Schizosaccharomyces pombe: one gene and its partner. Changing the gene in region 2 together with the main gene of any one other region gives a genetic interaction. Each region holds a gene or a part of one and is shown on either strand. Other genes may lie near its edges. The genes, in order: tts1 and rtn1.

Evidence for each region.
Region 1: of rtn1 (region 2) and tts1, changing one enhances a phenotype caused by changing the other (phenotypic enhancement), as found in Schizosaccharomyces pombe (one study listed by BioGRID).

Annotation. Positions count from the first base shown.
Region 1 is NC_003423.3:4,366,194-4,370,122, reverse strand, and holds tts1 (tetra-spanning protein 1), read right to left. Parts: upstream 1,782-3,929; 5' UTR 1,735-1,781; coding exon 1,675-1,734; intron 1,576-1,674; exon of another isoform or gene 1,489-1,575; coding exon 709-1,488; 3' UTR 307-708; downstream 1-306. Other genes in the region: COG complex subunit Cog3, read right to left, coding at 1-12, 55-123; arg41 (argininosuccinate lyase), read left to right, coding at 3,356-3,929. UniProt on the Schizosaccharomyces pombe protein: Required for the correct positioning of the cellular division plane by delimiting the actomyosin ring assembly at the cell equator.
Region 2 is NC_003423.3:1,261,611-1,265,301, forward strand, and holds rtn1 (reticulon Rtn1), read right to left. Parts: upstream 1,995-3,691; coding exon 1,068-1,994; 3' UTR 688-1,067; downstream 1-687. Other genes in the region: protein dbl7, read right to left, coding at 1-230. UniProt on the Schizosaccharomyces pombe protein: Required for the correct positioning of the cellular division plane by delimiting the actomyosin ring assembly at the cell equator. Overexpression causes cell lysis.

The DNA of each region.
Region 1 (3,929 bases), 3.1 Mb from region 2:
GACTTCGGGTAGCTAATTGGGTAAGCCCTTGTAAAAACATTTATCTAAGCTTACTTTTATATCATTTTGAGTTTCATTATCCTCATAGTTGACAGCAGGATAAAACTCCAACTGATCAAACATCGTTCAAAATAATTACGATAATCAGAAAAACATCGAGCACTTTGTTGGTGTTTCCCAGTGAACCATAACACAGCGCTACGTTACTTTGCGCAGATGCTAAGAAACAAAACGCATTAACATCACATAAATTCAATTGAAACTGGTATTTTATCCAATGTAAACTAATAACTTGCTAGATTTCAAGAGTGCGCTGCTATACATGTGTTTATTGTGCTACAAAATTCAATAAAACGTATTATTTTTACCTCTTAATCTTTTAATACTCAAAGAGTTTTTGGATAAACAACATATATCCATATTTCAATTTCCTTGAAAAAAGCTAAACTAAAGTCTGAGGAGACCCCCCAAACAAAGATAACTGAAATAGAGGAGTAGTGAGCAAAAATAAATAAACGGAATTATCTCAAACAAGTTTTTAGAGAAAGAGGTAAACGGTATGAACATTCAAAATTTACTTGGGTGAAATAGAAACTACTCGTTAATAGTAAAGAACTCAAAAACCAGGAGCACTTAGACATATTAAAATCACACTGATTGGTGAAATTTATATAAATCTCTAGCAATCAAAAGGAATAAGGCATCACTTTAAGTAGATGAGGGAGCAGTGGTAGAGCTTGATGCAGTGGGACGGCTTTGAGCAGTACCTACAGGTGAAGCACCGAACTTGGACACATAAGTTTTGAATGTATGCCAAGCATTTTTGATAACAGGAGGAACTCTGTTATCTGCAACCAAACGATCCATTCGAAGGCTAACGGCTTTAATGGATGCACGAGTAAAGTGACTATTAGTGTATCTCATGCGAAGAAAGAAAATATAGCCCACCAACCTGGAAATTGAGTTTTTACGTAAGAAAACCCCAAAGAACAAACGGAACAATAAAAATGTTTCGAGAGAAGCAACAAGTTGCATAGCAGGTTGAAATTGGCTTCGAGTGTACTGATTTAGCAAATTAGAAACACGAGAAGCATAAGACGCAGTTTTCGCGTCAGAAATATTAGGGTAAATGGCAGGCAAAAGCACACTACGCAAGTAAGTGGAGATGTGGAAAGTGGCGTAAATGGCATATGGAGCGAGAGAAAATAGGATGGGACGATCAATCAACATTGAAAGAGCTAAAATAAAATACTGAACATTGTCATCGAGCATAAGACGGGCAAAGAAATGCTTATTCCAAGAAGCACGGGAAGTCAAGTTTGGACTATAAGTTTTGTAAAGGACAATTGCATATGCAACGATGGCACCAAAGGCAGCGCTTTTAAACAAAAATGGAGGAGCGGAACGAAAAGGGATTGCTTGAAGAGCATACAAGACGGAAGAGATTAGCACTATTACTTGCCCCGAAAACCAAACAAACTGGGTGTTCTATAATAAACGGTTAGTAATGTATTAAAAGAGTGAAGACAATATGACACTGAATCAAAATAAAATAATGCTGACAAATTAGTCTATGTTTTAGTAATAGATTACAGTTACGTTATGGAACTAAATAAGAAACTTTTCTTATAATCAACATTTATTATCTGATTTACACATGATAGATATATTTACCTTGACAACAGGTAAAACCCTTTCTTTTAAAGGCTTGACAACTCGTTGTTTTGGCTCCATTATAGCAAAGTTGTTATTTTCAAAGTTTTAAAGATGTGGCTTTTGTTAAGTTAATATCCAGCAAAAAGTATGTTGTAATAGTTGTGATAGAGTACAATGTACGCTTACCAATGGAAGATCCTAAATTTTCCTACATCAGAAAAAGAAAACCTATGGAACTTCTGTGAAATACGCTAGTACACGTTTTGACTAGAATTCTTTTAGCAGGAATATAAGCGCTTAAAAAAGGATTTACGCCTTTGAGTAGCATTCAAGCTATTACAATTAAATAGATTTAAATAGGGGCTACACTCTTTAGTTTTCTAAAATCCAATTGTTTAAGTCTAGCAGACACTCCAGAAAGCTAACATAATTCATTTACGACCCTTGATAACAATGTACAAGAAGCTCTGACTAAAATTTTTCAAAGTGAAATGCTAAAGTACGATGTTGTTTGTTACGCTATCTGTTCTATGTTTTACATGGAAACAATAAATGGATTAATTCTTGCACATTTACTAGTGGACAATAAATGGTTCAGATTCAACATTACTATATCACACTTGTATTGCTCGGCAACCTTCAATAACTTCTATTTAAAAATAACTAGCAAGATCTAAACTGGCTCTAGAGTATTCTCGAAGATAACACTTTGTGGATTCCGTTTTGAGTCCAGACGTTCTGTTAACAACATATCCATACGTAAATTGTTAAGTTATTTGTTGGCGAAGACGAGTACTATAAACGAATTTTGAGAAGCTTGGTATAAGTAAATGTTAGACTGTCGAAGTAATACGCCCTATATGTGTTCATGCCAAAAGAAATCAATAATATAGTTGACAATTTGAAATGCAGTGTATAATTTAAGGCAGTAAGAGACGAAAGTAAAGAGGGAAAAGGAAAATCATGTACTGTTATCACTTTATTCTTCGTTGATTTTCTTCTTCTTTATAATCCCACTATATTTGGTGGATTCATAAACTCGGTTGGTCCATGTTTATTTTAATTGATTTTCGTTAGCTATCTTAAAAGAAATTGGGCGGAAGATGCATCATAATGTTTAAACCAGTTTAGTCTGATCAGACACTAGTAAAAACGAGAAAACAATACTTATCTACCAATGAGTTTTCAGGCATCTATAAATATCGTTCTAATAAAAATCGAAAAAACAATCACAACTAACAAGAAAATCTTTTAAGAATTCTCAATCTTTATAACAGTCAATTTTCTTAAATCTAAGCTAATGCTCGCGAAATTCTTTGGTAGCTCTGAGTTAATAAATCAGAAAGACAAAACAAATCATTCAGGTTGAGTACATTTATACAGTAAGATTCCAACCAAAGCTTCCATATATGATATCTTTTGTAAACTTAAGGAAAGAAATAACGAAGCGGAATGTAAACATTTATTAAGTGTTTATACGTTCCAATACGTTAGATCTTATTATAGCGATTATAATATCAATTTCATATCTATCGCCGTATCGTTAATGTGATATAACAATAGGTTGCGATAAGGAAGAGGTTACACGGTCATATAGCCATACTCTCAAAAGATTAGATAAATTAAATTTTAAGTAGTACTACCTCCTTTTTGCGTTGGTTGAAAACTTGAAAAACTGACTCTGTTTTAACAATTCTGAATGGCTTCTTCACAAAAACTTTGGGGCGGTAGATTTACTGGCGCCACTGATCCCTTGATGACAGCTTATAATGAGTCTATTCATTATGACAAGCGCATGTTCAATGCCGACATTGATGGCTCGAAAGCTTATGCTAAGGCATTAGAACAACGCGGAATCATTAGTGCTGATGAATTGGATAAAATGTTAGATGGTTTAGAGGCTGTCCGAGATGAATGGAAGACAAATAAATTCACTCTTCAACCTTCTGACGAAGATATCCATACTGCTAACGAGCGCAGATTGGGAGAAATAATTGGTACAGGCATTGCTGGTAAGCTTCATACAGGAAGAAGTCGCAACGATCAAGTTACGACCGATATGCGCCTTTGGCTACGTGATGAGTTGGACATCATCCAAAAATCTTTAGTTGGGTTACTCCAAGTTTTTGTTGCTCGTGCAGAGTCTGACCTTGATATCATTATGCCCGGTTACACTCATTTGCAAAGAGCCCAGCCTATTCGCTGGTCCCATTTCTTATTGTCTCATGCCTTTTCTATATTAAATGACTTGGATCGCTTGAAACAAATTTATT
Region 2 (3,691 bases):
TCATCAATGTCTTCATCCAAACCCCGACGCTTTCTGACTAGATTGGAAGACTTGCCATTGAACGATTGATCCTCAACATCTTCAATTGCTTCCATAGACAGCGCCATTCTATGAAGTTTCTCCTTTTTCGCGGAATTAAATCCAAAAGCTTTGCTACCTGCTGAAGCTGAGGTAGCTTCATTTTGAGATGCGCTTTTTCGAGGATTGTATTTGACTTTCTTGGAACTCATGTATAATAGCGTTGCGGCATGATAAATTGACAATAAATTGAATTTCAATAATCCTAATATATGGATACAAAGGAAATTTTGAGCTTAAACGTAAAAAGCTGGCACAACATTGATATAAGTGAATGACTTGTGGTGAGAGCAGACAACGATCATGCGAGTGTAATCAGCACTTTACTGTATGATCGGCTGTATTAAATACGAAGTAGTGGAAAAAAAATAATAATTTTTGGTTAACAAATACTTTAGTCATTTGGTTAAACAAAATAGATTTTTTCGTCCACAGACCCATTTTAGTTATGGAAAATATATATATATATTTTTTTTTTCGAAAAGAGCAGCAATAAGGAATACGAGGAGGACCTACAAAACAACACGGAGTAATTACGAGATTAAATTACGAATAATAAGTACGTTGGGTATTAAACGAAGCAGAGAAAATATAATAAAATAGCATCATATTGAGCAAAGCAACAAGAACTTCAACCACACTGCAATAGTTTGCAACTCAGAAGAGAAATGAGAGATTGAGCCGAACCTGTTACATTTACAATATATCGAGATGAGAAAGACGTATTTATGAAAATAAACACTCATAGTCATAAGCAAAATAATTGAGAAAACGCATTCAATCTCCTAATTCAAGTCATAATACAACACTTTTGAAACGCAACACAACACAGCAACACATTTTCAAAGTTGAAAACAAAACCATGGTTATTACCCTTGCATTTTTTTGCAAAAGATACTATTGAAACCTTAAAATAAACGAGGAAGCGAACCAAATAAAAATCAAGCGCAACCTGACAGAAACAATCAAACAAATTATCCCGCAGAGGTTTACTTGTTAACAGTGGTGTTTATAGTCTCAGTAGCTTGCTTTTTAAGTTTATCACCAGATCTCTCAAGGGAAGCAACCAAATGCTTGATAGAGCGCTCATTGCATACATACAATCTGGGAAGGATGAAGGCAAACAAAACATTCCAAACAAAGAGAGACTTGTAGGAAAGGAAGCCACTAAGGAAAAACTCAATAAAAGCAGCAACAGAGGCAGTAAAGGTCAAAATAGGGCTCTCAGCAAACAAGATACGTTGGAATTGAATCAACATAACGTTGAAAATGTCGACAATTGAGTTGACAATCCTATCAAGAGCCTTGGAGTCGCAGGTGATGTAGGAGGAACGGAAGTGAGACAAGACACCACGCTTACCGTTGGAAGCGAAAAGACCACCGAATTCAATGATGGAGGTAATCAAAAAGACATAACGGAAAGTTCTGAAAAAGAGGCGAGGAAGATTGATCCAAGAAGGGACATAAACGAGAGCAAGAATACTCATCAAGGTAGAGAAACTGCAAGAGGTGTTCTTCCAAGTCAACACAGACCACAAAGCATTAGAGATCTCAGGATCGACGTTTTGCTTAGTAGTGTTGGTAAAAGGGCAACCGGCCTCCAAAGCAGGGCATTTTTTGTCGGCACCTCCGTGAGCGCCGGAAACTGGGCAGACGGGACTGCTTGTCTCGCCAGGTGTGGATTGAGAGGTGTGGTGGGGCTCGGAAGAGGAAGAAGAGATGTTTTGAATAACGGGATTCTCAGAGTTGGGGAGAGCAGAGGGAAATGAAGTGGCAGAGGGCAATTCGGTGGAAGGGTGAACGGTGTGAGCAGTCAAAGTATTTACAAGGTCCTCAGCACCGGATTTAGCAGCGGCGACATCGGAAGCAGTGACGGAACCGGATTCAAAGGGGTTTAATGAATGTTGTTCAGACATGATTTGCGTGTTATATTCAATTTTAAAATAACAACTTAAGGTAAAACAGTTACTAAGAATCAAAAGAAGCCTTAAAAAAAAAGAGAAACCTTTTAAACTAAAAAAGGGTGCAAGTGTTTTTTTTTTAAGATATAGTAAAAAATAGAGAAAATTTAAAGAAAACTAATTCTGAAAAGTGCCGACTAAAGAAAATAGCTAGTAAAGGACGACTTTTCGGAAGAGCGAAATACTTTGTAACAAAGACTTAAAAAAGTGAATAAAAGATTTTTGGATTTTGCTGTAGGATAAATAAAATGTATATGTATTAAATCCAAAGCCAAGTTCCAAAAGGGTTAACTTTTAAGGGAGATATTGATCGAAAGAAAAAATAAAAGTAGAATGGGTAAATACAAAAAGAGACCTTCACGAGTTGTTGAGAGGAAAGTCAATATGTTTCACTTACGAAACTGTTAGAAAGTTGTTAGTTGGAAAGCTTTGCTTTTATATGGTAAAAGTCAAGTCGGTGGTTGGTGGTTAGATAGCAGTCATAGCGTTGATCATGGAATGACGTTGTTCTTGGCTCAATAAGTCTGTGTCAGCGGCGACTATAGCGATCATGCTTATAATCGGTTTACAGCAGGCTAATGAAAGAGAATTTTGGATGGTAAAAGAAAAACGAAGAATAGGAAGAAGATGGGCGGGAAAAGATGGGTTAAATGGTATGAAAAGATGGGTGAAATGGTATGAAAAAGAAGGAAATGAATAGAGAAACAATGAAAATGGATGAAAAACGAAAGAACGAGCGAAAACGGATGACTTTTGCAAAAGCTAGAGATATTGAAAAAAGAGTAAATAAAGGGAAAACAATGATTAAGTGCAGGAAAGGCTACAAGAGGCGAAAAAAAAGTGAGAAATAGATAAATAAATTCGTGTAGGATAGTTTGTTGAAAGGAGAGCGAAGTATGGAGTTTGATTGTAAAATGTAAAGGAGAAAGGGATAAGAGTGATGAAAAGGAAAAGGATACAACTGAATAAAGAAAGGATTAAAGATTGAAAAAGGAAAGGAATAGTAACGGTGAGAAATGATGAATCATCCACAAGTGAGTAAAACACGAAGAAATTTGTTGTTTAAAAAATTATTTAATATTTGAGGAATTGAAATCAATTAAAACTTTGAAGAAACAAAATTCATTCAAACTTCTGAAGCCTTTTTTTTTTTTTTTTTTTTTTTTGGAAATTTTTTTGACAAAAAATTTATTTCTTAAGAATCAAAGCAAATGTATTTCAAAAAAAAATATATATATATATATGATGAAATAAATAAGACCATACCTTTTCTACATTTAGTAATTGATTTATTTCAGTTTACGTTAATTAATTTAATGTAATTTTATTTCGAATTTTTTATTTTTTTTATTTTTTCACGAATTGAATTGAATTGAATAGATTTTCTTTTTATAATTTAATTTTTTTTGTACAAATCAGTTTGTATTGAAATTCTTCATCATCTCATTATGCGTTGTGTGTCTGTTTATTTACACCCACTTAAAAATTGCAAGCATACCGTATGATGAACAAGAAGGCTTTTCTTGCCTTTTCGTGAAAAGGGAGGGAGAAAGAGAAAACGTATTTAATAAATTGGACATCTCATCGTATGCTAGTATATGAAATTATGAATTGAAATGAAATGTATGGAATTGCATTGCGCTGGACTGAAT